Ovis aries: one gene and its partners. The main gene of each other region encodes a partner of the protein of the gene in region 4 in a complex. Links are inferred from orthologs where the notes say so. Each region holds a gene or a part of one and is shown on either strand. Other genes may lie near its edges.

The links.
Region 1: EFTUD2 (region 4) and SNRPD2 share a complex: the UniProt entries of both Homo sapiens proteins name them as parts of the minor spliceosome. The link is inferred for Ovis aries from reciprocal best matches to the Homo sapiens genes EFTUD2 and SNRPD2.
Region 2: EFTUD2 (region 4) and SRRM2 share a complex: the UniProt entries of both Homo sapiens proteins name them as parts of the minor spliceosome. The link is inferred for Ovis aries from reciprocal best matches to the Homo sapiens genes EFTUD2 and SRRM2.
Region 3: EFTUD2 (region 4) and CWC27 share a complex: the UniProt entries of both Homo sapiens proteins name them as parts of the minor spliceosome. The link is inferred for Ovis aries from reciprocal best matches to the Homo sapiens genes EFTUD2 and CWC27.
Region 5: EFTUD2 (region 4) and CWC15 share a complex: the UniProt entries of both Homo sapiens proteins name them as parts of the minor spliceosome. The link is inferred for Ovis aries from reciprocal best matches to the Homo sapiens genes EFTUD2 and CWC15.
Region 6: EFTUD2 (region 4) and SCNM1 share a complex: the UniProt entries of both Homo sapiens proteins name them as parts of the minor spliceosome. The link is inferred for Ovis aries from reciprocal best matches to the Homo sapiens genes EFTUD2 and SCNM1.
Region 7: EFTUD2 (region 4) and SNRNP40 share a complex: the UniProt entries of both Homo sapiens proteins name them as parts of the minor spliceosome. The link is inferred for Ovis aries from reciprocal best matches to the Homo sapiens genes EFTUD2 and SNRNP40.

What each region holds. Positions count from the first base shown.
Region 1 is NC_056067.1:53,040,971-53,045,200, reverse strand, and holds the start of SNRPD2 (small nuclear ribonucleoprotein Sm D2), read left to right. Parts: upstream 1-1,430; 5' UTR 1,431-1,492; coding exon 1,493-1,494; intron 1,495-2,847; coding exon 2,848-3,027; intron 3,028-3,997; coding exon 3,998-4,172; 3' UTR 4,173-4,230. Other genes in the region: QPCTL (glutaminyl-peptide cyclotransferase-like protein), read right to left, coding at 467-676. UniProt on the Homo sapiens protein: Plays a role in pre-mRNA splicing as a core component of the spliceosomal U1, U2, U4 and U5 small nuclear ribonucleoproteins (snRNPs), the building blocks of the spliceosome.
Region 2 is NC_056077.1:2,806,516-2,810,744, forward strand, and holds the start of SRRM2 (serine/arginine repetitive matrix protein 2), read right to left. Parts: upstream 2,801-4,229; 5' UTR 2,594-2,800; exon of another isoform or gene 2,586-2,593; intron 2,239-2,585; exon of another isoform or gene 1,758-2,238; intron 1-1,757. UniProt on the Homo sapiens protein: Required for pre-mRNA splicing as component of the spliceosome. As a component of the minor spliceosome, involved in the splicing of U12-type introns in pre-mRNAs.
Region 3 is NC_056069.1:14,832,922-14,837,049, reverse strand, and holds the start of CWC27 (spliceosome-associated protein CWC27 homolog), read left to right. Parts: upstream 1-1,328; 5' UTR 1,329-1,535; coding exon 1,536-1,577; intron 1,578-4,128. Other genes in the region: protein SREK1IP1, read right to left, coding at 894-906. UniProt on the Homo sapiens protein: As part of the spliceosome, plays a role in pre-mRNA splicing. Probable inactive PPIase with no peptidyl-prolyl cis-trans isomerase activity. As a component of the minor spliceosome, involved in the splicing of U12-type introns in pre-mRNAs.
Region 4 is NC_056064.1:44,303,292-44,306,466, forward strand, and holds the end of EFTUD2 (116 kDa U5 small nuclear ribonucleoprotein component), read right to left. Parts: intron 3,173-3,175; coding exon 3,085-3,172; intron 2,465-3,084; coding exon 2,346-2,464; intron 2,251-2,345; coding exon 2,156-2,250; intron 1,711-2,155; coding exon 1,557-1,710; intron 1,408-1,556; coding exon 1,195-1,407; 3' UTR 971-1,194; coding exon of another isoform or gene 875-970; 3' UTR 501-874; downstream 1-500. Other genes in the region: HIGD1B (HIG1 domain family member 1B), read left to right, coding at 1-57. UniProt on the Homo sapiens protein: Required for pre-mRNA splicing as component of the spliceosome, including pre-catalytic, catalytic and post-catalytic spliceosomal complexes. Component of the U5 snRNP and the U4/U6-U5 tri-snRNP complex, a building block of the spliceosome.
Region 5 is NC_056068.1:15,092,414-15,096,525, forward strand, and holds the start of CWC15 (spliceosome-associated protein CWC15 homolog), read left to right. Parts: upstream 1-1,312; 5' UTR 1,313-1,462; exon of another isoform or gene 1,463-1,913; intron 1,914-2,682; 5' UTR 2,683-2,705; coding exon 2,706-2,836; intron 2,837-3,475; coding exon 3,476-3,588; intron 3,589-4,112. UniProt on the Homo sapiens protein: Involved in pre-mRNA splicing as component of the spliceosome. Component of the PRP19-CDC5L complex that forms an integral part of the spliceosome and is required for activating pre-mRNA splicing.
Region 6 is NC_056054.1:101,063,967-101,067,909, forward strand, and holds SCNM1 (sodium channel modifier 1), read left to right. Parts: upstream 1-1,143; 5' UTR 1,144-1,263; coding exon 1,264-1,365; intron 1,366-1,539; exon of another isoform or gene 1,540-1,576; coding exon 1,577-1,647; intron 1,648-1,886; coding exon 1,887-1,975; intron 1,976-2,073; coding exon 2,074-2,171; intron 2,172-2,285; coding exon 2,286-2,374; intron 2,375-2,775; coding exon 2,776-2,970; intron 2,971-3,603; coding exon 3,604-3,703; 3' UTR 3,704-3,758; downstream 3,759-3,943. Other genes in the region: LYSMD1 (lysM and putative peptidoglycan-binding domain-containing protein 1), read right to left, coding at 183-362. UniProt on the Homo sapiens protein: As a component of the minor spliceosome, involved in the splicing of U12-type introns in pre-mRNAs. Plays a role in the regulation of primary cilia length and Hedgehog signaling.
Region 7 is NC_056055.1:236,093,947-236,098,206, forward strand, and holds the start of SNRNP40 (U5 small nuclear ribonucleoprotein 40 kDa protein), read left to right. Parts: upstream 1-1,460; 5' UTR 1,461-1,490; coding exon 1,491-1,634; intron 1,635-4,260. UniProt on the Homo sapiens protein: Required for pre-mRNA splicing as component of the activated spliceosome. Component of the U5 small nuclear ribonucleoprotein (snRNP) complex and the U4/U6-U5 tri-snRNP complex, building blocks of the spliceosome.

The DNA of each region.
Region 1 (4,230 bases), on a different chromosome or scaffold from region 4:
CAGGTAGGGAAGAGAAGAGCAGAGCATGAAAACGACCCTCATTCCAACCATATCCTGGAGGCTGCCCTCCTCTTCCTAGCCGCAGCCTCCAGCATCAGAGGTTTCTAGAAGTCCCTCCAAACCCATCCTGCGCAGCCCACGGCAATCCTGATGAGGGAAATCAAGGCCCAGCGAGAGGAAGGGACTCTTCCAAATAGCTGCCTTTAGGATTAGAACCCAGAACTCCAAGTCTTACTACTCCAGACTCTCTTACGGGGTAACCGCTATTACAAAACAAGCCCGAAGCCTCATTGCATTGGAAAGGGGTATGCGCTCTAAGAACGGAGACGGCGGCACCTGCAGCTAGGGCCATAAGGTAAAGACAAAGCCAGGTTAACCCAACCTAGGGTCTTCCCCATGAGACCGTGGGGAAGGGGAGGCAAGGAGTAAGGGCTTCCGCAGTGCCCATGTCCCCGCCCGTCCTCACCCGCAGTTCCCGGCCCAGCGGCAGCTCTTCAGTCTGGCTATGCCAGCTGCTCCAAATGGTATAGAACACCAAGGCTACTGTCAGAGCCAGCAGCAGCTGGGGCAACAGCTGTGCCCGCGGTATCAGGCGCCGCTTGGGCGGTGAGGGTCGCTCCAAAAGGCTGCGTTCCCCGACCGGGAGTCGGGGCCGCCCGCGGCCCCCGGAACGCATGGCAGCTTGGCCCTGAAACCGGTCGGAGACGGCGGATAGAGTTAAGGCCGAGCCAAGTCCCGCCCCATGAAATAAGCCAGACCAATGAACAACAAGAGCGGCTGCACCATCCGCCCCCCCCACGAGCAGTAAAGCAAATGGGACTTTCGGCCTGAGGACGCGGCTCCTTGTCTTCAGGGAGCTTTGGGGGTTGGTTCCCCCGGGTTGCACAACCCAAAAGGGAGAGCGTAAGAAGTAGGCGCCGCCTCAGCGCAGGAGGGGAAGCCAATGAGAAGCGTTTGATCACCGAAAACACTAGCCTTACTGGGCGCAAATCCACGCCGCTCCCGGATGGACCCTCTCCCCGGTCCAGAAAAACCAATATACACGTAAATCAACAGTTTCCGAAGGAAAGGGGAGGTGCCCATCCCTGAAGCGAGGAGGGGATTGGCTTCGCCAAGGCCGCGCCCCCAAAGGCAGAGCGGGCGGGCATTTGGAAATGGCTAGTATTCCCCTCTTTCAACCTATGCGGTTCTGCAACAAAATGGTTTTAATCAGTCCCGCCTTCTTTTCCTCTCCATGGTCGTGAATATCTGCCCAGCACTGTCTTGAATGGTGGCCTGGAGCTACTTACTAAGTAAGGCTTCTACTCGGCAGCCTCCGCCGAGGGCGGAGATCGCTATAGCAACGGGCCACGCCCCACTCGCTGGTTGGGTATGCGCAGGCGCGCGCGGAAGTGGGCCGTAGGAAGAGGAAGTCCCGCCTCTGGCTCTCTGTTCGGGAGGCACACCACGGAGGAGACGGTAGTGGCTTGAAAACGCGGTCACCATCATCATCATGTGAGGCCGGGCTGGGTTTGGGTGGCGGCAGTGGGATTGAGGGTGTAAGTTTGGCCACTTACCGGTTGAAGTGGGTAGGCAGAAGTGGGCGCGGAAGCAAACATTTGGGGGTAAAGTGGCGTATCTTTCTACTGATGAGTTGCGAGGGGACGTGGGGCCTTTGAAGGATCCTGACTTCGGGAGCGGGGACAGCTTTATCAGATAACAGGCTGGGCTTTCCCAAATAAGCAATCTTATTGAAGTGAAGTTTAAGAGGAAGCGTTTTTACGAATTAAAAACCTGGGAGATGAGGAGTACGGACTTGTAGGAAAAGCGGTCTTAAGGTAAGAGGCGTAGCTGGAGACAATTGGCTTTTCGATCACATCCGCCATTGGTATGGATAACGAGTTATGGGGATGATTTTACTTATGTAGTCACTCAACAGTTATTTATTGAGTTGTTTGTGTATTAGGCTGCTTTAGACGCATAGCTTATATCACTGAATTACTCCACTCTCCCCAAGGGAAAAAAAATCCTCTTCTACATCTTACGGGATGGGAAGAGGCAGGCAGGAAACGTGCTGGTAATAAATCCGTAAATTCTAGAATGTGTTAGGGAATAGGGTTTTGAATAAAGAAATAACAGAGCAGGGTAAAACAGCGTGGAATGTCTCTTGTGAGAGACAGAACGCATGAAGGAGGCAACACTTGAGCAAAAACCTGAAGAAAGTGAGAAAGCAAACTGCAAAGGTACCTGGGGACGTACCTAGGCAGAGGGAAAAGTGAATAGAGGGGCCCAAGAAGGTTTGCCTGATAGCTTCAAGAACCACTGAAGAGGCCATTGTGCCTGGAACAGAGTGAGGGTAAAAGCTGGGCTTTACTGTTTACACTGAGAGGGTACTCAAGAGTGAGATGATTCTTGACACCACCCTTGAGACTGCTCTGTGGAGGGCGAACTGTTGGGGAGCGTGGGTGGAGGCAAGGAGACCTAGGAAAGATGATGGAGGTTTAAGCCAAGGTAAGAAATTCAGATTCTGATAGGTTTTAGTGGCAGATGGCAGGATTTGCTGACAGATTGAATGTAGGATGTGAGAGAAGAAAGAGTCAAGTTGCTCAAAGAACCAGAGGGATGGAGTCACCACTGACAGAGATGAGGAAGGCTGTGGATAGTATTAAGTTGGGGTTATGGGGGGTCTGGAGTTCAGTCTAGGTCATGCGAGGATTGGAAATATCCATTAGGCATCCAAGTGGTGATAGCAAGAGAGAGGACTGAGTACGAAGAGAGGGATATGTGTCGGGGAGACACCAAGGGAGAGGCCATGAGCACCCAGGCTATGGGCCTGCTCACCTCTGGGTTCCATACTTGTCTTTTCAGGAGTCTCCTCAACAAGCCCAAGAGTGAGATGACCCCAGAGGAGCTGCAGAAGCGGGAGGAGGAGGAGTTTAACACGGGGCCGCTCTCCGTGCTCACGCAGTCAGTCAAAAACAACACTCAAGTGCTCATCAACTGCCGTAACAACAAGAAGCTCCTGGGCCGCGTGAAGGCCTTCGACAGGTGAGCACCAGGGTCTGGGGAGGTATGCTGTCCGGGCCTCAGTTTCCTTACCTGTGAAATATGCGTCATAATAATATCCCTCAGAACAGTAATGAGGCTTCAGTAATACTATGTATGAAAAGCACTTGGCTCAGTACCTAACACATGATAAATGCTCAGTAAACACATGCAGCCTTTAGTTAGCATTTGGGAAGTGCTTTCCTCACCGTAGATTACTATATAGCAAGATACAGAGCTTTCCCAATTTTTTTCTTTTCTTTCTTTCACTCAGTCATAGTTCCCTGTATCCTCCTATTCCTTTGTGTGTGTGCATGAGGGCTAAGTCACTTTGGTTGTGTCTGAATCTGTGCAGCCCTATGGACTGTGGCCCACCAGGCTTCTCTGTCTATGGGATTCTCCAGACAAGACTACTGGAATGGGTTGCCATGCTCTCCTCCAGGGGATCCTCCCAACCCAGGGATTGAATTTGCATCTCTTATGTCTCCTGCATTAGCAGGCAAGTTCTTTACCGCTAGAGCCACCTGGGAAGCCCCCCATCCCTTTACCTTGCGTTAGTTTTTCTTCATAGCACTTACTACCACCTGACAGTATATTACAGGTGTGTTTGTTTACCTGCTTCGTGTTCTCCCTTCACTAGCCTGCAGAGCCCATGAAGACAGGGCTCTTACCTGGTTTTTTTTTCATTGCTCTAATCATTGTAAACGTTTGTTGACCGAGCTATTCCACACTGTCATCACACATGCCCATAAGAAAAATAGTGTGTTGATTCACTTAATTTTCACAACAGCCATAGGAGGCAGGCACCATGAATGTCTCCATTTTAGAGACGAGGAAACTGAGGCGCAGAAGGTGAAGTCCTTTGCCCGAGCCTCGGAGCCCTGGCTCTCCCCCTTCCCAGAGGCAGTGCCGCCCAGAGGAAGGGTCAGGACACACCCCTCACTCAGTCCTGCTGCCTCCCCGTCCCCACCAGGCACTGCAACATGGTGCTGGAGAATGTGAAGGAAATGTGGACGGAGGTCCCCAAGAGCGGCAAGGGCAAGAAGAAGTCCAAGCCAGTCAACAAGGACCGCTACATCTCCAAGATGTTCCTGCGCGGGGACTCTGTCATCGTGGTCCTGAGGAACCCGCTCATCGCTGGCAAGTAGGGCCTCCTCCCTGCTGTCAGAACTTTCCCCCTGGTTTTGCGAAGACCTGCCCTCTGTA
Region 2 (4,229 bases), on a different chromosome or scaffold from region 4:
TCAGGCTAGCTACCCTGAACGTAGCCAGAAATTATGACTACAAATTGACTCGAGAACCCCTTGATATCCAAAAGGAGGCCTAACCTAAAAGGCCAGCACGCACTACAGAAACACATGAAGCCTGGATACATAATCCTCATATACATCATCTCTCAGGTAAGAGGCATATCAACTATCCTGACTGATATGTTATTTCTTCAATTTCCTTCCCAATAGGATTTCTCACATGGTTTGTGGCTCACCCAAGTCTCCCTAGCTCCTACGAAAAGATTGCGTTTCCAACTCAAACTCTCTATGTATCAAAGCAGTCTCCTCTAGTCCAACTGTTCCCCATACCTTCTCTACATCCTTTCCCTACACTTAGTCACAAAAACCCCACTCTTTCTCCCTCACCTTCATTAAAGTCAAACTGCTGACTTTAACAGTCCCTTCATTACCTTACTGCCTAGTTTTTCTCATCCAGCCCCACATGACTCTGAAGAAACCCTCAAATGCTAGTTTTTTTCTGATTAGGTTTCTTGACTACACAGACTATTCCTTTCTCCTGCTCTATGTACTTTTTTTTTCCTCCAACTCCTCCTGTCCAAGATAGTTTCACAAAGGAAATGTGTGAGTGAAAAGGACCCCAGGAAAAGAACCCAAGGAACAAAGTTGAGATATTAGTGAAGGCAGAAGAAAAAAAACACAGAACTGGATAAAAAGAAAAGTTCCATTTAAAATACTCTGGAAGAAACATAAACACCTGGGAAAATGTACCAACCTCCCCCTTTACAGGTAGATGTTGAATGAAAAGAAGACAGCTCAACTCTAGAACAGTTTGGTACCCCTTCCCCCCCAACTCTAAGGCTGGGTCCCTACCCAATCCCAGTTGCAGACTCTAGAGATCTGAAAACAAAACAAAAAAATAACCATATTGGGGTAAAGGATGATGCTAAATCTAGGAAAGGCAAGTGGAACTGTGTGAAACGAAAAATTTCTTTATAGTACAAGAAATCTTCCAACCTTCACGTTTACTTTCTCAAAATTTCTCCTTGCTCTTAAGCTAGATTTTCTCTGGCTCTCTATACCCTACCTAGTTTCTGCTTCCCTAGCAGAAAGCTTCTGACCTGCAATTAATTTTTCAGTTTAACCATTCACCCACACTTCCATACCACCTCACACAATAATCCTCCCACTCCCTGGAAAAGGATAACCAGCAGCTGCTAAGCAAAGGGTATTCAATCACAACAAACTACTTTTAGAAAATGACCCAGCAAAGAAAACAAACAAAAAACAGAAATACCATGGCATCCAAGACAATGCTCACAAAGGACAGATAGACAGGAGGAGTGTATCGATAATACATATACACAAATCACCAAAACCCAAATGGAGACACTTAAACTAGGATCCACGGACTACGGGCATGCAAAAGTCACCAAAGCTAAAGGCAGATGAAAAGCAAGCTGCAAAAGAAGATAAAAAGCATTTTTCTGTTGGAGAATTATCACATGTTAAACAAGACAAAAGGAGTCTTAAAATTCAGTATTACGACAGTCAAGGAAAGAAACGCAGGAAAAAGGGAGCGGAGAGTGCAGGAAAATGAAACTAATACGTAAGCACATCAAGTTCAGCACTGGGGCACCACAGTAGCTGACGAGGGACTATGGAACCCAGAAAGCTGAAGTACTAGCTCAGTAAGAGAGTGCCTAGATTCAACACACTCAAAAGGAAACACAACACAACTTTAAAAATTTTTGACCCAAAAGATATCTTACATAAGCGTTTGCGTGAAAACCGAGGTCTGGAAGAGTTTTGAGTCAAATTATAATAAAACCCTGCGCTTTCTCCTCAAGAAAGGGCTGGCAGCCGCCTTCCCAGCTTCAACACAACTTTGGAGACCATGAAAAGGTGCAAGAAAAGAAAAGAGCACGTGGTCTGCCTTAACATACCTAGACTGAGTACTTAATTAAAAACAAAAAAAACGTTTTGAATGCTTCGCTTAATACTTCATGGCAGACAGTAACGAATCCAAACTGCCTAAATCGAGGAGATATCTAGTTCAAGACCTTTTTTGCACAGGCTGAGCCGCCAAGACCTATTTTCGGCCTTGAGGGATGGGGGAGGGGGCTGCGCGGCGCCCGGTAGTCTGGGAGGCTCAGGACCAGACCCCAAGCCCCGGGGAGGGACGGACAGGCCGGACGCCGGCGAGGCGCGGGGCAAAGGAGCCGACAGCCGGCCCCCGCCGCCGCAGCCCCCTCCCCGCAAACAAGATGTCGGCAAGGACAGCTGCAACAGGGCCTCGTCGCCGCACGCGTCTGGGAGACGAGAAGCCCGAGTCGCGCGCTACCCACTCCTCGCCGAGAACGCGCGCGAGCCCAAGTGCACTCGGCGGCGCGCGTCGTTGCCATGGGGGAGGGGGAATAAAAGCCCGCGCGCGACAGGAACCGCGGGAGAGGGGGAGGGGAGGCAGGCGAGCGGGGACGTCCGCGCGAGCTAGGGGCGGCGAGCGCGCGTGCGCGCGGCGGCCTGGGCCGTTCTCCGCGCGCTTTGGCCTGGCGCCGGGGCCGCCGCCCCTCCCCCACCCGGCTCGCTCGCTCCCTCACCCTCTCACCCGCCGCCGCCTCCACCCGCCGCCTCCGAGGGGGAGAGGTGCTGCCGCAGATCGAGCTCCTGAGTCCTTCGGGGCCTGGAGCAGCGGCCCTGCCTCGCCGGTCCGCCCGACTCAGCCGACACCGCCGCCTCCTCGCTTCCTCAGGGGCCGCAGCGGGCTCCGACTGCGCCACTCGCACCCCGCCTGGGCCGCGTTGCACGTCAGCACGACCAACTAAACGCGTCAGCACGCAACCGCGCGCGTCGCAAGGCCCGCCGGGAACCGTAGTACGCTCCGCGGCCTTGTGCGCAGGCGCCGAATCAGCACGGGATGTGTAGTTTCTTGAGTCCCGAAGGAGAGTCAACTCTGTTGTCGATGAACTACGATTCCCGTCAGGCAGTTGCGAGGAGGGTCTCGGGAGCGGCCCGGAGGAAGCAACGCATTCCAGGGGGTTTCCGACGGGGAGCAGGAGGACACAGGGCCTAGCGTCGCTAGCCCTCGATCGCTCCCGCCTTCGGCCCAGAGCATGCTGGGAGTTGTAGTTCTAGTGTGGCGTGGAACCCGGAGGTAGCTTCGCTCTCCCCCGCCCCCACGAGGCCGCCATTTTGTCTCCTCATGTTAGGAGGCAATGGGCCCGAGGCCAATAATACCGCTTCCTCCAAGTGACCGCACGCCTCCCGGGGTGAGCCCGGGGGCTGTGCTGCACCTATCATTCCGGACCCAGGAGTACCCGCCCCCCGGACCCTGGGCGGCGGACACCCGGGTTATCCCAGAGCCCAGCTACAGGCCCAGGGCCTGAGCCAAGAGCTGAGCCAGCAGACCGTGGTGTTCGCAGCTTCCATCCGCTGAACCGGGCTGGCTGCCCCTGAGGAATGATTTTTTTTTTTTTTTATGACTGCGAGTAAGGGGCCAGACAGAGGTGCAGTTTTCTCCTGCAGAACATGAAGCGTGTTACATACGTGGCAGGGTAAAAACATTACAACCCCCACCCCCACCCCGCCCCAAGCTTGTCAGCCCTGTGCAGAATGTCTTAAGTTAATGTTTTTAAGTCCGTTTTGCTTCAGCCTGAGGACCAGCTAGTCTCCCTCGGAGCAGAGTTGGGAGAAGCTGAGTTTTTGAGGCAGGCCAGTCGTCTGGGTTATCTCTGTTTGGGGTGGGGGTGGGGGCAGCTTATACCAGCAGCCACTTAATGAACTGTGGCCCCTTTGACTTTGTATCTGATGTTACTAGGTTTTCTTTGTAATCGTGGAAAGATAACTCACCTCATATGCTGGAGCGGGGCAACCTACTGCTTGGTGTAGGAGCTGTAGCTTTGGCTTAAAGGTGCCAGGGCTGATGTAATCTTACCTTCTTGAACTCCTGGCAAGTGCTTCCTGGAGTTGGATGCACCTTTGGAGTGATTTATGGCAAAGTGGAAAAGCCTGTCCTTTCTGGGCTTAAGCTGATATTTCTCAGGTGAGGGTGAAGGGTGATAGTTTCTTAAAACCCATTACCTTCAGTAAGACCCTTTCCTGTAACCAAATTCTCGATGATATTCTTCCCAAGAGATAGGAGGGTAGGAGGTGGGACACAATCAAAAAATGATATAATATCCTGAGGACCCAAGATAAACACTGATTAGAATTAAATGGGTTCAAGATGCAGACAAGTCAAATTT
Region 3 (4,128 bases), on a different chromosome or scaffold from region 4:
GGGGTCACAAAGAGTCGAACACGACTGAACTGACAACAGTGCCCTGTGTGATCCTCCCAAAACTGCATTTGGTAGAACAGCACAACCTTCCCATGCATAACAGCTATGTGCAAAGCACAGTTCAGCAAAGGCTGCCACAGAACAAACGTGGTCAAATAATACTGGGGAGGGCAGGTTAAAACAAAGTTAGGGCTTCTGAACCACTGCACTTCTCAGCGTCTTTTCTAAGTACCGTGAATCTCCAAGTTGCATGGAGATCTCCAAGTTTGAGTGGGTGGAGGGGTGGTGGTGGTGTATATTTCTCAAAACAGCTCCTGCAAGGAGAACTGGAAGGAACCACAGGTATAAATCAACACATCTTTTTTTTTTTTTAACAGTTGCAGAAACAGGCCCAGGAGGGCAAAAAGAAGGGTTCAGGACCACACAGCTACTACATGTAAGAGGAAGAGAGAGAAGCGGAACCGCAGAGGCTCATTTCAGCCCTGACACTTCCAGTGCAAACAACGCCTTCGGCTACTTGGGTCCGCCAAGTGTTGCCACCTCAAATTTTATTTTCAAACCATACTAAAGTTGAGGTTAGTTTTTCTGGGCCAACTGCCTCCTAGGCCTACAGACAGGAGTCTGTCTCAAACACCCCTCCCCCACTCCGCCCTATATACACTTTCCCTGTAAGTCCGTTTTTGGCAGTGGGAGCTGGGCTGCTGCGGGGGAGATCGTTTCTTTCTTCTTTTCTTTCCTTTAGAGTTTATTTTTGGACTGTAAAATTTTTCTTGTAAACCAAACGAACCTGATCATTTTAACCTTCCACCCTTGGGCGGTACTCCTTACCCAGCGCACACTAACCTACCCTACCTACTCCCTCCCTCGCCCAAACCCCTGCGGTTGGTCTTTACCTGGAATTGCCATGGCGTTGGTAAGAGGGGTCGCAGAACCCCTAGGCTTTGGAGGGTTCTCTCGCTTCCCGCTGGTCGCGAGGACAACACCCAGCGAGGGGGCCGTGTTTCTCCCACCCGCGCCGCGCCACCCGGGTGACAGCAGGGGAAGGCCCTAAAAGCGCCTGGAGATTGCGGAACCAAGTGGCTGCTGATGCAGTTTCCGGGGGAATCGTATTGTACGCCACACACGGCGCGAACCATTACTGCCAGCTTCGAGGAGGTGAATGAGACCTGTACACGCGTGTAGTGAAGTAAACAACACCAAAACTTACGAACTGTTGTTTAAAAAATTGGAATACAAGTTAAATTCATCTATAGGAGTTTAATAGTCTCTTCTCAATTCCCTGGACGCCATTGGAATCCCCCTTTTCAGGATTAGCGGTGCTCGGGTCCAGGAGCAACATGGCGGCGTCCGTGAGGACCTAGGCTTGGGAAGAGCTAGTGTTTGGTGTGGTGCTACTGTCTTGCGGGATATTGACAGGCTGGAGCTTTCCGCGACTTGCCAATTTAAGGAAGCGTGTACCGATAGGTGGGCAGCTCTAGTTACCGGCGGTTTGCTCTCATCCCCATTTAGGAGCGGAGTTCTGAGCACTGACCGGAATGAGCAACATTTATATCCAGGAGCCTCCCACGAACGGGAAGGTGAGTCTCACCTAGGGTACCTGGGCTCCCCAAAGCGATATCTCATTGAATAAAGGAATTCTGGGGTTGTAGGGTTGGAAGGGATTACAAAAACTTTACCTCTGTCTCTGAGCAGGATTGCACTGAAAGCCACATGCTGGCACTTCTCAGCACATAATTGAAAAAGTCCTCAAGTGGAGATTTCTCCATCAACCAACCTCCTGGCCCTACTGTTCCTTGTTTTGCTTCAACCTAACTCTGCATGCGTTTTCTAGGGTCGTAGGTAAAAAGCCAGGTATGTTTTAAAAATTGACATTCTTTTGCTAAACTTGGAGATCGCGATTTCTCCATTTTTTCCACAATTCTATATTGACTGAATGCCTACTAGGCACCAGGTGCGGAGAATACGAAGATGGATGGATAAAACCTGTTGCTGCCCTGGAAGAGCTAATGGTTTTAGTTTTAGAGACAGGCAGGTAAACAAAAACCTAATAGTATGTTTGCGAGGTGTTCTAATGGACAGAGGAGCATCTGCTATGGTATTACTGAGAAGTTAGCAACTGGGAAAGTAGAGAAAGTCTTCGTGGACAAAGTATCTTTTGACCTGGGCTTTGTCAGCGAAACTGGGGAGTGGAAAGAAAAGCCAGCATTGTACCTATTATCACAGCTTAAGTTGAGTGAAATATACATGAAATAGTCATGCAAATTAGTGTATGCAAACTGTGTTAAACATTGTCCTTCTGAACAGAATTGGACTGAGAAAGAATATCAGGCATAGCCCAAGTTTTCCTTCAAAACCAGTTTGGAACTTTTTATAGCATAAAACCAGTTGAAGAATTGAAGCTTCAAAATTCTGTACCGTAGACAGCTTGGCAAGAATTTTGGCGTGGAGAACTCAGAGCAGTGCTATGTGACAACCTAGAGGGATGGGATGGGGTGGAAGGTGGGAGGTTCAAGAGGGAGGGCACACCTGTATATCTATGATTGATTCATGTTGACGTATGGCAGACACAATGTAAGCCAACACAATATTGTAAGGCAGTTATCCTTCAATTAAAAATAAAAAGAAAATAATTTTGGCCTGGAAAGAATTTAAAGCAGATGTAGTAAGTTTGCTTAATGAATGTTTGTTTAGTCATCTGTACTAAAAGGATTCAAAGATATTCCAAATAAATGGGACAAAATTTCTCTCTTTAAAGGGTAGTATCAACTTAGAAAGTACCCCTTGAAGAAATTTCCTGATCTACTGAAGATGAAATTTCCATGTATAATGATGATTTAATCTACATTTTATATTAACCCATATGTTTTAATCTTAAGAAACATTATCACAGTATTGTCTTACTTGTAAGCATTAAGAAAAAGAGCCACTGATACATGACAGAGTAGTTGTGGCCAAATGGAATGCATAGCCAGAGGAGGAGCAATGTACCTTCTTTTTTAATTCAGTAGCTTACCAATGAAAAGATTAAGAAAACCTGGTTAGAACCGTGACCCAACCATAATGTGGTTTTACCATATAAACTTACAAGTTTCCTGTTGTCAAAAATTTTTATAAAAATAATAATTACAACAATTATAGCTACCATATTTTGAGCATTTACTCTATCAGGTACTGTTCTGAGCAGTCTGTGTATAATAACTCATTTTGTCCTTACAGCGAACCTATGAAGATATTACTATCCCTATTTTTATTTTTTATTGAAGTATGGTATATGTGATATACATTATTAGCTTCATGTGTGCAACATGATTTAACATTTGAAACATTACAAAATGGTCACCACAATAAGTCTAGTTACCACTTGTCAGCATACGAAGTTAATGCTATTTTATCGACTGTATTCTCTATGCTGTACTTTTCATCCCCATGACTTACTTATTATGCAACTGAATGTTGGTACCTCTTGATTCCCTTCACCTATTCTACCCCTCACCTCCCACCCATTTTCACTGTTTCTCACCTCTGGCAACCACCAGACTATTTTCTGTATCTAAGTCTGGGTTTTATTTGTTTCTGTTTCAGAGTCCACATGTAAATGGAATCATGTGGTATTTATCTTTCTATGTCAGACTGAGTTCATTTAGCATAATACTCGTAAAGCTCCATCCATGTTGTGGCACAGGGCAATATTACTTTCTTTTTTATGGCTGAGTAGTATTCTGGTGTGTCTTCTTTATACTCATCCATCAGTGGACACTTAAGTTGTTTTCTTATGTTCAATTCAGTCACTCAGTCGTGTCCGACTCTTTGCGACCCCATGGATTGCAGCATGCCAGGTTTCCCTGTCTATCACCAACGCTGGGAACTTGCTCAAACTCATGTCCATCGAGTTGGTGATGCCATCCAACCATCTCATCCTCTGTTATCCCCTTCTCCTCCCTCTTTCAGTCTTTCCCAGCATCAGGGTCTTTTCCATTGAGTCAGTTCTTCACATCAGGTGGGCAAAGTATTGGAGCTTCAACTTCAGCATCAGTCCTTCAAATGAATATTCAGGACTGATTTCCTTTAGGACTGACTGCTTTGATCTCCTTGCAGTCCAAGGGACTCTGAACAGTCTTCTCCAACACC
Region 4 (3,175 bases):
TACACGATGTACCGAGACTACATCAAGAAAACCGCGCAGGATACCAGGGAGAAGTAGGAGTCCTACCGGCCCAGGGCGGTCGGACCTCGTCAATCCTGGGTGTGCACCTAATAAAGGAGTTCGAGGCAACTCACCAGTCTCTCCTTCACACAGTGGACAGCAGGGCGAGGGAAGGCTCTGGGGACCAGAGGACCTCCAGGGCAAGGAGAATCTTCGGGGGCAGAGGAGACCTCTGATCCCAGAGACCCAACCACTCCCCAGCCCTCTCAGGTGCCGCCCACAGGAGTGGGAGCAGGGGCAGTAAAGAGGCCTCAGTGCTCATGGGAACACTGAGTGGAGAGGCAAGCGCTCCTCTCTGGGGACCAGGCAGGAAGAAGGCTGCAGCTGGGAGCAGACAGGGAGGCCTCGTGGGAGATGACAGAGACCTAGGACCCAAGTGCCAGGACGAGCCTGAAGGGAAGAGGGTGGAGCAGTGGGGATGAAAGGAATGGACCAAGGCAGAGGTCAGAATGTTCTGTTCACTTATATAACATGTCTAAGGTCAAATTTCGACTAAGAAAAAAAAAAAAATTTCACGTAAATCCTGAAGACAGGGCCCCTTGGGCTTCAACACTTCCAGACGCTTCTCCTTCCTGGACCCTGAGCTCTTCTCTCTCCTCTGGGAATGGAGCCAGGCTGAGGCCATAGGAGGAACCAGGAGGCCCAATGCTCCTCCCTCTGTGCTGGAGGCTTGGGGGCTCCGGGCTTGTTGAGGATGGCCGCAGCAGCCCCAGACATGCTCTGACCACGTGGAGTCTGAGGCCCACCAGGGCCCAGCTTCAAGTCCAGGGTGTGGCCCAGCGCAGGGAGTGGGAGCTGCCATGAGGCCTGGTGCTCACATCGGGTAGTTGAGCACCACATCCTGCTTGGCGAGCTCCAGCAACATAGGATCATCGAAGAACTTGCTGATGCTCACGTCCTCGCTCAGGCCCTGCAGAGTGTGAGGGCAGATGCAAAAATGAGTCTTGCATGATTGCGCTGTACTTGAGTGAAGGGGCGGGGGGCATGTGCCGGCTGAGCTATTTCGGGAGTCCTGCGATTAGGGTATCGTAACAGAGCAGGAGAAGGCTCTCCCTTCCCAGGCATGTGGCCCCAGGCCTGGATGCCTGAAGCCTGGGAAGACCACGTCTCCCCACGCTGTGCAGTAAAATGCTCTTAGTCTTTGGGAGGAGGGTCCAAAGGCAAGAAACAAAGAGCGATCCAGCTCCTGACAAGACCACCTGGGAGTGGAGGGACAGCCGTGGGCCTGAGGACATGTACCTTCCTACGACGGGTTTTGATCATGAACTCTCGGGCCAGGTGGGGAGCTGGCTGTGGCTCCAAGGGGCGGATGACAATGCTCTTGTCCAGAGGGTCACCAGGTACAATCTGAAAGGCAAAGCGGTTTCAGAGCTGCTAGGCCGAGAAGCAAGATGCTTCTCTAGGATGCTGGCGATCCCCCTGGAGGTGGGCAGGTCAGAGGGGACGGCCTTGCAGAGGTGGGAGACCGCAGTGGCCAGCCTGCACCATCTTCTTACCTGCCAGTGGTGGAAGACAGACAAGGAGAAGGCCTGGCCCTGCGTGTGAGTTCGCAGATCAGTCTCAAAGCCAAAAGAGTCGATGGCTGGGATGAAAGCTTTGATGGTGTAGAGAGGAGAGCCTGGGATGGGTGCGTCCTGAGTCACGTGTCCCCTGAGACAGAAAAATAAAGGCTGAATTCCTACCCCTGCGGAGGCCAAAAGCAGAGAAGCAATGTACCCCCAACTGCTGACCAGCAGAGAAAAGAATAACCGCAAGTGCCCCACAGAGGGCGGAAACAGCTGGGGCTCTTCCCACTGCTCCCCATGGAAGTCAAAGGGGCAGCGACCTGTGGGCAAGAGTGGAAGATTGATAGGACAAGGCCCTGCAGACCCCCCCACCACTGACTGACATCCCCCAGGAGCTCTCTGAGGAGGGGTCCGAGGAGAAACCTCAAACTATGACATGTAGTGAGGCTGGGGATGCCTCATCCCTTTCCTGCTTCCTTCTGTAAACCTAGGCCTCAGGAGTGGAGGTTGTCGGGAGGCCAGCCCCTCTGAATTCCTTCTCACTGGAACTCAGGCTTGCCGCCCCCTTCCTCAGGTGCCTGGTGGCTTACCTGCGCCTGGCCAGGACCGTGTAGACAGCAGAGACACAATCTGCAGGGGCCTGGACCTCAACGAAGTAGTAGGGCTCCATCAGACGAGGGGTGGCCTGCAGCAGAGCGGGATGACAGGGCTCCTCAGCTTGGGCAGAGCTGGGGGACAGCAGTCTCGAGGGGCCCCGTCAGAATAGCCCCCCTCGCTCACCATGAGGAAGGCTGAGTAGACGACTCTCCGGGCTGTGGGGATGATCTGGCCCCCGCCCCGGTGCAGGGGCTCCTGGGCAACCACTGCATCTAGGATCTTAAACTTGACATTCCGAATCACTGAAAAGGAAAAGGGGGAGCGGCCTTGGGAGTGGGTCTGGTGCTAGTCAAGGGTGCAGGGATCGAGCAGCAAGGAGCCTCTTGCAGCACTGAAGCTGTCTTGTATCCACGAGGGATGTGGTACAGAATCAGCCTACAAGTGTGTATTCTAACAGCGTATATGGAGGTCAGAGGGTAGGCAGATGTTTGCAGTGTTGGTCTCAGGACACACTCAGACCACATAAAGTAGCTCGAGAAGTTTGTGTTTCTTTTCCAGATATTTGATTATTTTTGGATGTAGAGTAAATTTTAGGAATTGCACATTTGTCCCCACTGAATTCAGTCCTGCTCTATAAACCACTTCAGTCCCATCCTCCTGATGATATCCGTCCTCAAACACATTCCAGGAATGAAAGGCAAATGTCCACCTAGACATGACTTCTATTTCTAGGATGTACCAAGCCGTACCACCAGGACAGGGAAGGAGACGAGAGGAAGCTGGCTCAGAACACCGGACAGCCGTGTGGGCCCCAAGTTGTGTCTCCTGCCAGGTCCCAAAGATGAGCCCACCCGGACTATACACCCAGACGCAAGGACCCCAGAGGACAGGGCAGAGAAGGCAGAGGTGCTGGTCGACTTACACTCATCACAGAGAGGCCCTTCCCTGGTTCCCCACTGGAAACCTTGAACGATGCTGTCCTTCACTGAGCCGAGAAGAGCCTTGTCCACCTG
Region 5 (4,112 bases), on a different chromosome or scaffold from region 4:
TAGGGGACAATTACAATCCAGGTAGAAAATGATGCTGGCTTGGACTAAGGCAGTGGAATGAAATTTGGGGTATATGCTGAAAGTAGAATTGGGAAGACTTGCAAGTAAACTAGATGAGAAAAGTGAAGGGAAAGGGATTTAAGAGGAGCGCTGGGATTCTGGTTTGAGTAACTAGCCTGATGGTAGTAGTGTCCTTTACTGAGATGTGGCAGATTAGGAGAGTAATTAATACCTTTGGTAAGAAAAATCAAGATTAGCAATTTGAATTTTATGAGGGAAGGGACTTTTTCTATGCTTTGTTTCATTTAACGTTCAAGGAGTTCTGGGGGCGTTGGTGGGGAAAGCTTTTTTCTGTTCGATGTTATGAGCTCTTTACATTTGAAACTAAGGTGGGGGGAGTTCAATTTTCATTTGTTTAACAAATATCTACTGAGCATCTACTGTGGCCAAGGATTATGTGATTAGATACCAAGTTGAACTGGAAAGGCAAACAAAATCCATGCTCCCAGAGGGCTTTTGGTGGGGGAAGGAGTTAGGACGATTGGTGATTTTTTAATTTTCCTGTTCGTTACCTTATGAAAACTTTCCCTAACGCATGAGTAGCCATCTTACAATAGTAACTGCATCTAGGGCTCCTGGCAGTTGGGCCACCGTTCTAAACGTTCAATGTCTGTTAGTATATAAATGAATCTCGACAGTGACACCTCCCCTCCCACTAGAACTTAGGCTTTTATAAAAAGTAAATATTTTAACGAACGTTACGAATACAACCTTCGTTGTGAAGACTAATATTTTTGCAGGAATGGTACCTTTATAAAGATCGTGGTTGCCCCCGTACATATTTGTTCTTTCTTCATATCCAATTAAATGCAAATACTACTTTCCGTAGCCCAACTCTCTAGGCTTGTTGGGTCTAGCTCAGGAGTAAGGAAGCAGGAGCCGTTGGATTTAAACAGTTTGGTGTAATCCTTTTCTATGCTCTCTCGCTAGCCGGGGACTTGGTGTCGGCTACTCGGGGCTCTTCGTTTACGCAGTACCGGAATGAAGGAATCTGGGAGGGGGTCGGAAAAGGAAAAGACGGAACACACATTAATTGACTCTCGAAGCTACACAACAACGTTCAGGGTCTACTCTAAAGCACTGATTTCAAATGCCCGCCCCCTGGGCCGTTTAAGCCCCGCCCCGTGCGTCGTCACTTCGACTTCCACCTTGGTCTCCGCTGACTGGTCCTTGCCTCCGCGGGCGCCTGACGAGCTTGGGGTTTGCTTCCGGGTCTTGGGATTTTTTTTTTTTTTTTTTTTGGGCCGCGGGTGCAGAGGTTTCTGGGAGCGGAGAGTCAAGATGGCGTCTGTATGATCTCCGGAGGTAGCGGCGTTGGAGTTCGGCCAAAGTGAGCGGCAAGAGGAAAGCAGACTGTGGGTTGGACCGTAAGGGGCAGTTGGCGGCGGAGGCAGAGAACTCGGTGCGGGCCCTGGAGGCGCCAGACGAGGAAAGCCTAGTGTGGGTGGGGCCGGAAAGGGGTAGTTGGGGGCGGAGGCAGAGAATCCAGTGCTGACTGAGCGGTCCCCACAGGGGCCTGACGGGGAAAGCGGCCTGTGGGCGGGGCCGGAAGGGGCAGCTGGGGGCGGAGTCAGCTAACCGGGTTTAGGCCGCGGAGGCCCAGGAGCTGCAGACCGGAGAGCCATCTGTCGGTGGGGCCGGAAGGGGAAGCTGGGGGCGGAGTCAGAGAGCCCGTAAATGCGGAGGAGGCGGTGGAGCTGCGAACTGGTGGTGGGGCTCCGCGCCTAGCGAGCGTGTCCCTGGTCTCCGATCGGCTCCCGAGAGCGCAGCGCCAAGGCATCTCGGCAGAGGGCCGCCCCTCGCCCCCTGGGATAGGGGTGAAGAGTCAGCGAGTTCCCTGCGACAGCCCGGAGGTGAACTCCCCGCCCCAGGGATGACTGTTTTGGGGGGGAGGCGGCGATGCTCCCCAGAGACCTGAAACCCTGTTTCTGTCTCTCTGGATACATCCCTCTCCCTTTTTTTTTCCCCGGAAAATCTAGAGAAGTATATCATTTCCCCCAGTTTTTCCCTGACACTTGCTTCTCTGACGCTTGAGGATGTTTCAGTAACCACAAACGGGTCCCTAATTTTTGGTTATTACAGTCCTTTGAGGGTGGGCTCTTGTGTTTCCAGCATTTCTTAAATTGTAACTTGGAAAAGATCTAATTTATATTATGTTGGCTGCTACTGGAGGAAATTTGATCAACAAAAGATTGTTGGAGATATTTGCCTATGTAACTGTCATTGAAGCTTAACACACTTTTTTTACTAGAACACTCAGTAACTTTGTCAGTGATTTTTTTTTTAAGATGTCTTTGCTTTTGTAGTTGTTAGCCTGTTCTGCTGTGTGAGGTTTAGATGAAATGGGAGTAAGGAGTCCGGTGGCGTGAGGTTGAGTGGAGATGTTTTAAATTCAGACATGGCTGTACTGTATTTTATAAAGGTTTTGATATGTCACGTCTCCTGATTTAATAACCTTTTGAGGAATATCCCCATTTCACAGATGACAGAAACTTAAACTTGGTGGCTTGCCAGGGGTCACAGATGTTTGAGGGAATGAGCTAGGGAAATTATTTCACAAGGATGGCTATAGATTAATGCTTTTCAAAATGAGAGTTTGTCATATTGAAAATAACTTGACAGTGTTTTTCTTCAAAGCATAAAAGATGACAACAGCAGCTCGGCCAACTTTTGAACCTGCAAGAGGTGGAAGAGGAAAAGGTGAGGGTGATTTGAGCCAACTCTCAAAGCAGTATTCAAGCAGAGACCTACCCTCTCATACAAAGATAAAATATAGGTAATGAAGCCTTTTAGTTTTTGTTTCACAAGCAAGACCAAGTCTGTTAAATGATGTGGTCATGAGGTAGCATGTTGGGGTTACTATCACTCAAGTTATCTGTTTTCATAGGAGTAGAATGTAGTAGTGTTTCAGACACCCAGAATTATGCTCCATGATTTTAAAGTGCTACCAGATATTCCTTAAGCAGAAATTCCAGTTAACCAGGAATTTCTATATGTAGATTGAACAATGACTAATAATACATTCTGTCAGGAGGAGCAAGCACTATCAATACAAATCAGTATGAGATTAAAAGTGTTGCTGTAACAAGCCCTGAGTTAGCATACTAACAAAAAGTATAAGCGTTTTGATCAACCTGCTGCCTTACTATGGGAAAGTATGTTGATTTAGTTTGAGGTTCTTAAAGGTTGTTGATTTAGTTTGAGGTTCTTAAAAGTATGTTGATTTAGTGTGAGGTTTTAGACATCACAGGATGCCTCTTAGTAACTTTTGGATTAGACTGATGATTTTGTTTATCCCCTAGTGGAGTTTTCTGCTTTAGGACTCAGGCTGAAGTTGTGTTTCTTGAATTGTCTTCCATTACTACAGCCGTGTGTTTTTTAGAAGTAACTTTGCCTTGTCTTGTTTCTACTTTAGACAGACCACTCAGGATGCCCCTGAAGAAGTTCGAAACCGTGACTTCAGGAGAGAGTTGGAGGAGAGAGAGAGAGCTGCTGCAAGAGAAAAAAACAGAGATCGGCCAACCCGAGGTACCAATACTACCTTAGACATCTCTCATAACATTATGTTGACAGTAGTTTTTCTTTCATGTGGTAATAGGAATGGATTATTATTTTTGTTTGTTTGCTTTTAAATGTGGGGTGAGAGCTATAGCAGTTTCTTGAAAGATTAGATTGGATTGGATTGATTGGATTAGATTATATTGGATTGGATTAGAGATGATAATGAAGTTGATACCAATTTCATCTTATTATGCCTCTGTTTTAGAAAGAGCTAGGGGATATTTAGCAACTGTTATTTCAATTCAGATTAAGGAGTTTTTGACTATTTACAGCAGCCAGACTTTTTAAGGCCCCATGGTTTCTGTCTATGAAATTCTTCCATTTTTATTTCTAGCATGTGTAAACTGTATCCTAAGTTTCCTGAGGCTACAGTTTCCATAATAAAATCAATACTTTTGTTAACTCATTCGGCAGGTATTTGTCAAGGACTTACTTGCCTGCCACTGTTGTTATAGTCCCTACTGTCATGTTTAAGACCTAAGCTCTTGGTG
Region 6 (3,943 bases), on a different chromosome or scaffold from region 4:
CTGAGATGAGGAAACAAAAAGATAAAGGTGACCAAACCTTTATCACAGTCAATTTATCACAATTAGTTAATATAAACACAATTAAGAAAATTTCAGGGGAAGTTGCCTAGAGGGCCATACATTCTCATGAGGAATAAACCTCTTCTAATTGGGTGTCTACGTCCCAATCCTGGAAGACTCACCGTCACCCCGTATTTGAGTGCTAGTCCAGCCAGGGTGTCTCCGGGCGCCAACTGATGCTCCAGGCGTCTTTCCCTCACCGGGGAGCAGGCAGACTGCACCAGGCTTCCATAAGAACGAGCCCGGCTCCCTTGAAGCAGTCCTGACCCCCCGAGGGGGGCCTGTCTAGAGGGAGAAGCCATCTCCTCACCCTGCGGACACTGAGGTTACAACCCCGGGAGGCCCGGCCAAGTGACCGATAATGACGGGCTCGCGGTCCGAGAATGGGTATCTTAGAGGATTCCTCTCTTTCAGTCTTCTCTCTTAAGTCTCCCCGCCTCCCCCGGCGATACGCGACTTGTCAGCCGTAGCTTCTCCTCCCTGCAAGTCCCCTTCCCACAAATCTGTACTCCGACTATTCAGTCCCTACCTGAGTCTTTCCTTAGCACCCCTCCGACTTTCGACTCCCCACAACAACTCGCTACGTTGACCCCTGACCTTTGAACTCTAGCAGCCTCCTTAACACGCAGCTCAATTTGCCCCTACGTCTGGCAGCCCGACCTCCAGGCTCCCCAATACCCCGACTCCGCCCGGTCCCGGGGTTAGCCCTCTAGGGTCAGGAACAGATCAGGCCCACCCTATATGGGCTGTGGTTGCAGGCGAAGGGCGTGACAATAGCCAGAGTCTGTAGCACTCTTTCTCCGTCAGAGATCCTCAAAGGTATTCTCCAAACCAAATCAGTCACACCCTCAAATTCGGGCTCCTCATCTAGGTTCTTGTCATTCCAAACGCCTCGAATCTGCCAAGACGAAAGGGCCTGGATCCAGCCCGGCGGCAAGCTCTTTGAAAAAAGACTTCATTTCCCAAAAGGCCCCGCGCCGGTGAGGTCGCAGGGCACCATAAGAAATACAGTCCCCCTCGGCCGGCTAGAAGCTGGCTTCCGGGATCGCGCAGTGCATTCGTGGAAGCACACCCCCGGAAGTCAGGGGGCCAGCAGGAAAGAGACCGGAAGGAACGGAGACGACCCACTCCTGCTACGGTGGCCTGAAAGGCGTGGCGAAGGCGGCTGGATAGAGTTTTTGATTTCTGGGGCTCACAGTCTTGATGTCTTTCAAGAGGGAAGGAGACGATTGGAGTCAGCTCAATGTGCTCAAAGTATGCGGAGAGGAGTGCTTCCGAAGCAGCTTCACCTGCCCTCTGAAAGCTGTAAAGGAGCTGTTTTGTTGCTGTGGCAACAACTGGGGGGCGGAGTGGAGGGAACCAAAAGACTAGAGGTGGTGGTGACCCCTTTTTCACCGCAGATGTGTGTTCTCCCATGGTCTTTATTCCCTTTCAGTCCTCGTCTCTATCATTTCCCTTTTATCCTTCCCTCATATCCAGCTGATCCCGTGCGGACTTCTTCCCCTGTCTCCTGCAGAAACGAAGGGTCGGGGACCTGCTTGCCAGCTACATCCCAGAGGATGAGGCGCTGATGCTACGGGATGGACGGTGAGAGCGAGGAGTGGATCAAGTTTAAGGGTTTTGAAGTTAGAGACTCAAGAACTTTTGTTATTAAGGAGGAGAGCGGGAGTATCTAGGATTCTTTGGCTGGGAGTGAGTAACAGGGATGTGGGTGATGGAGACTGGGAGACTTGGGAGTTGGGCTTTGGAAATGAATGCTTGGACGGGGTGGGACCTATGACCAAGACTCCACTCCCCAGGGACCAATTATCTTTCTTACTCCCCAGCTTTGCTTGTGCCATCTGTCCCCACCGACCCGTCCTGGACACTCTGGCCATGCTGACTGCCCACCGTGCAGGCAAAAAACATCTGTCCAGTAAGTTTGGGAAAAGACAGACAATAGAGTAAACCCTTAAAATCTCTTCAGACCACCCTTGGTGCTCTGCTTTTAATCCTCTTCCCCTTTCTCCTCAGGCCTGCAGCTTTTCTATGGCAAGAAGCCAGCAGGAAAGGGCACAGAGCAGAATCCAAGACAGCATAATGAACTCAGGAGAGAAGAGACCACAGCAGAGGTAATCAGAGAGGGGAAGTTGTGTTCCAGGCAGGACTGTGCTGCACACCTTAGGCTAAAGGACTTTGGCTTATTTCTGGCTCTGAAGGCTCTGACTCTGCTGTCTCCATGCCAGGCTCCTCTCTTAACCCAGACTCGACTTATCACTCAGAGTGCTCTGCACAGAGCTCCTCACTATAACAGTTGCTGCCGCCGGAAGTACAGGTTAGTGGGATGGGAAAGCCAGAGGTAGGGAGGGACAAGAGATAGATAGCTCTAAAGTGATTATTTTCCTAATTGTAATCTGAGACATACTAAGTGTTCTGGGGGTGTTAACTTGTATTTCAGGAAAAAGATTTTTGTAACTAAAAAAGTGCTTTGTAATCCTATTTGATTAAAAATTAGTGTATTTTAAGGGTTCTACAAAATCATAAGATAAAAAAAAAACCTTAAAAGATTTAGACTTTCCTAAATTTACTGGATTCCAGAATTCTTTTTATGCAGAACACTTACTAATATCTTGAGGAACACAAAATTGGGAAGCACTCCTATAAGGAGTTGGGAGTCACAGGAGATTAGGCCCTTTCCTTTACTGCTTTTACAGACTTCGATTCTTCTCTGTCCAGACCGGAAGCCCCTCGTCCCTCTGTCTCTCGTCCCCCTTTGCCACCCGCAGAGGCTGAACCCCAAGGTGGGAAGATCAGTAGAGAACCTGAGCCTGAGGCTGGCTCACAGACCAAGGAGTCAGCCACTGTCTCATCCCCCGCACCTATGAGCCCCACAAGAAGACGGGCCCTGGATCATTACCTCACCCTTCGAAGGTGAGTATGCAGAATTTTTCCTCAGTTTTTCCCTTTTATCTCTGACCCTCCTTGTTTCAGAGCTTCTCAAGTGTTTTTACTTATCCCCCGGGGCTTCCCAGGTGGCACAGTGGTAAAGAAGACATCTGCCAATGCAGGAGATGCAGGTTCGATTTCTGGATCAGGAAGATCCCCTGGAGGAGGGCATGGCAACCCACTCCAGTATTCTTACCTGGAGAATCCTGGCGGGCTACATTCCATAGGGTCACAGAGTCAGTTCCTCTTGAAGCAACTTAGCACACGTGCATGCATGCACAAAGACTCCTTACATATGTAACTTTTTTTTCAAATAGTTCAGGAAATTAACTACAGTTAGATAGAAAGAACTATTGGGGCTTCCCAGGAGGCTCAGCAGTAAAGAATCCTATAGTGCACAAGAGGCAGGTTCGACCCGAGTTGGGAAGATTCCCAACTGGAGAAGGAAATGGCAACCCATTCCAGTATTCTTGCCTGGGAAATCCCATGGACAGAGGAGCCTGGCAGGCTACAGTCCATGGGGTCACAGAGTTGGACATGACAGAGCACTCGCACACATGCTTTTCTTAATTTAATAAACTTCCTTTCCTGACCAGTTCTATTTTCTGGTGTTTCCAGCTCTGGATGGATCCCAGATGGACGAGGTCGATGGGTAAAAGATGAAAATGTTGAGTTTGACTCTGATGAGGAGGAACCCCCTGATCTCCCCTTGGACTGACATCCTCGTTCCCCATTCATTTCACAAATAAACTACAGCCGGCGCTGGGAGCCCAGCTTCTCCTGAGTCTGGTTCCTTGTTTCAGGATTTCAGATCTGTTCATTCTCAGCCCAGCCAATTCTTCTCTGCAAGGTACACAGCTCCCCACACTTCTGACCCCTCCCCCACCTTCTCCCACAGTCATGCCAAGCGTCAGCTGCATGCAGCCTGGTGCCCTATTAATAAGTCTGTCAGAAGGAG
Region 7 (4,260 bases), on a different chromosome or scaffold from region 4:
ACACACACACACACACACACACACACACACACACACACACACACACACACACACACACACACACACACACACAGAACCCTGTGATTGCCCATTAATCTTAAAGTAAAAGCTACAAAGTCTGGCCTCTACCCGCCTCCAGCTTCATCTTGTACCACACTCCCCTTCATTTTCTGTCCTGGCCACAATGGCCTCTTTGTGCCTTTTACTCATTTTCCTCGCATTTGCCACAGGACTTCTGCACATGCTGTTCTAGATGGAACATTCTGCCTTCCTTGCTTCACCCAACTAATTATAATTCTTCCCTGAGGCTATCAGTTCAGGCATATTTTCCTTACAGAAGCCGTCCTGTTTATTCAGGCACTCATTAACACCAGGTACCTCTCCTAGGTAGCACACACTTCCATACTTCCCATTTCCTAGTGAGATCTGGTGAGCATCTATTTCCCCCCAACCCCAGACTTAAAGCTCTGAAGTCAGGGACCATGTTTGGTTCACAATGTCTGCCCAGTGCTCTGTATTATAAATATTAGTTGGACGACTGAGAAGAAGGCCTAGTTCACAGGTCTGAGTTCGAATTTCTCAACAAAACTGTACTCCGGAGGCCAAGAGTCGGACATTACCTTCATCTCTATCTTTCTGAGGAGGCGCTAGTAAAGGCTGCGGAATCATGGCAGTGACAAGTCCGCCTCTTCAGTCAGAGAGGACCCTGATGGAGGCTAGGAGATGGGCCTTTTCTCCCTGGGATCGCCTGGGCTAGGGCTCTGCACGGAAAACACTGTTGAAGAAGTCAGCCATCGAGGGCCCCAGGCTGAGCAGAGGCTCCCAAAACTCTGCTCCAGGCTAGAAAGGGAACCCAGGCTAGGTGCTAAGTCGCTTCAGTCGTGTCCGACTCTGCGACGCCATGGACTGTAGCCAGCCAGACTCCTCTGTCCGTGGGATTCTCCAGGCAAAAACACTGGAGTGGGTTGCCATGCACTTCCCCAGAGGATCTTCCCCACCCAGGGATCGAACCCGCGTTTCTTAGGCTTGGAACCCAGGCTACTACACACCAGAGCTAGGAACTCGGGGCCCCCTTTGCCCCTTGCAATCAAACCTGCATCTGAGAAGAGCCAGCCTCAGACCACTCCAGATCCCACAGCCACCCGCCCCTCGACCTTCCTTACACTTACTTGTTGTCTGCTTCTGGTCTTTCCCTCGCAGCATTGCGCGAAACACCAAAACCCAGTCAGTGAGCTTCCACCCACAAGACACAGCGCGCCTAGGCGGGACTCCAGCTCTATCCACCAATCCTGAATTCGTACTCTAGTGATGTCAGAAAGAACTGGCCAATAACAGGAAAGTTCTCAGGGGGCGGTGCTGAGAGGTATATTGGAAGTCGATTGGGTTCTATCGGCCGGAAGTTCTACGGGAAAGACTAAGTCCGAGCCAATCGTGAGGTACCTGAGGGGGTCGGCGCGGTCAGTGGCGGCCTGAGGATAGCGGCTGCCGCCATGATAGAACAGCAGAAGCGTAAGGGCCCAGAGTTGCCACTGGTCCCAGTGAAGCGGCAGCGACATGAATTACTGTTGGGAGCGGCAGGGTCGGGCCCTGGAGCCGGGCAGCAGCAGGCGGCGCCGGGAGCTTTGCTGCAAGCGGTGAGTATAAGGAGCAGGCGGCCTTCGGCCCTCAGCTCATCTTCCTCTCTCCTCAGCACCTGGTGATCCTGCGCGGCCCTTAACCCACACTCCCGGCCGGAGCGGGACTCTCTCTCCTAGGAGTTAAAGCAGAAAAACACGGTAAAAGCGGCGTACACCCGGCGATTCTCCCTGCGTTTCTCCATTTGACGCGCGTTTTCAGCGTCTTGACCGCCCTGTGAGGAGGTGTTAGAATTAAGAATTGAGGATCTTGAGCTAAAAACCGAGACCAGGGTTTTGACTTCTTAAATGTTCCAGGGATCCAGTATAGAATAAACGATAAATTTCAGAAAACTTGGAAGATTGGATGGATGAATGAATGAATGAATGAGGGAAGGGGGGAAATGAATGCCGCTGGCTCGTTTTGGGGACTTGGGAAACTTGCTTTTCCCGTTGTTTCTCTGCACTGGTATTAGTAATAACCAAAGAATAGTTACCATCCGTTGAGCCCTTGTGCTGTGTAAATGAAAACTGCATTAATCTCGGTAACTTCCCAAGAGTTAGGAAATATTATTATCCTAATTTGTAGACGGGAAAACAAAGTTATATAGTAAGTGATAGGACTTCCCTCATAGCTCAGCTGGTAAAGAGTCTCCCTGCAATGCAGGAGACCTGGGTTTGATTCCTGGGTCAGAAGATCCGTGGAGAAGGAAATGGCAACCCACTCCAGTATTCTTGCCTGGAGAAACCCATGGACAGAGGAGGCTGGTAGGCTATAGTCAGTGAGGTCGCAAGAGTCAGACATGACTTAGTGACTAAACCACCAGGAACAGCTTTTAAACTCAGAATCCATGCTCTTAACTACATTTCCTGTAAAACTGAGGTAGTGATCACACCTCTGCTTCTATCCTGTTAGGCTCAGCTGACAAAATATATGTCTTCCCGCCCCCCACAACTCCTCAACCAGCTGGTTAGCAAATGTTGACACCACCCTCAAACTATATCCAGACTCACTACCGCTTCTTCCACCTTCCAGCTTCTTTGGTGGCTCAGACAGTAAAGAGTCTGTCTGCAATGGGGGAGACCCAGGTTCAGTCCCTGGGTTGGGAAGATACCCTCGAGAAGGAAATGGCAACCCACTCCTTTTTTCTTGCCTGGGAAATCTCATGGACAGTGGAGCCTGGCGGGCTACAGTTGATGGGGGTCACAAAGAGTTGGACATGACTGAGTGAGTGACTAACACTTTCTACCACTTCCATCACTAGCTCCTGGTTTAAGCCATTAGGGCTTCCCTGTTGGCTCAGAGGTTAAAGCATCTGCCTGCCATGTGGGAGACTTGGGTTTGATCCCTGGGTCGGGAAGATCCCCTAGAGAAGGAAATGGTAACCCACTCCAGTATTCTTGCCTGGAGAATCCCATGGACAGAGAAGCCTGGTAGGCTATAGTCCAGGGGGTCGCAGAGTCGGACACGACTGAGTGACTTCACTTTTCCTTTTTTTTTTTGCGATTTCACTTTCACTTCACTTGTCTCATCTGGCACTATGGCTGTAGGATCCTACTGGAATTCCTGTTTCTGTTTATGGATGCTCAGTCTATTCCCAAACCAGTAGCCAGAGGAATCCTTCTAAACATAAGATCATATTACCCCCCGCTGAAAACTTGCCATGGTTTTTCACGTCAGTCAGAGTAAAACTGAAATCTTGGCAATCTTTTGCCCTCTTTCACTTGATCTCTCTGATCTACCAATTTTCCATTGCTCACCTTTCTCCAGTCACAGTGGCTTCCACGCTCCTGCTACAAAGTCTTTGCATTTGCTGTGCTCTCTACTGAAATACTCTTCTTCCAAGTGTCCACATGGTTTATACACTCAGCTCTTCCCAATCTCTGCTCAGATAACACTTTTCCACTTTCCTGACCAGCCCATTTTAAATTGCCATACCTTGTGCTCATCTACATTGCTGCTCTGTTTTTCTCCATAACACATGCCACCGTCTATATGTTTTACTTGTTTCTGCTCACCCTCCCTCTTTTCTGTCCTTCCCACTAGAACACAAGCTTCATTTTTTATTTTGTTCAGTACTGTTTCCTAAGTGCCTGGGACGGTACCTGACGCAGTATTTCCTGAGTAAATGAGTAAGCTGGAAACTAAGGAGATTTGCAGATTGTTAATAGTGTGCTTCTGTCTGGCAAGAATATCAGCCTGGGTTTCTTTGAATTGCCGCGACTGCAACTGGTCTTAATGTCCAAGACCATTATCAAAACTACTTTCTTCAATAACCTGTACCCTGCAGGGTTGTTGGAAGCATTCGTTCAATCATTCATTCATTAAACGAACTAGAGACTGGGAAACAGTGTCATGTTACACTGGTAAGGTTCCTGCACTACAGAGCCTTTCTCGTGGCAGAGCAGGGGAGACAAACTAAACAAATACATAAGAAACGTAATTTCAGATAGTGATAAGTTCTTTGAGGGAAAAAAGTAGTGTTGATCAAATGCAAAAGAGAGGTAGGGTGCTGCTTGGGCTTGAGTGTTCCAGGAACAACTTTCTGGAGAGAAAGCACTGGAAAGGAACCACACACAGAAAGATCTCGGGGAAGAGGCCTCCAGTCGGGGACAACAAAAGATCCTGAGGCAGAAGTAAGTTTAA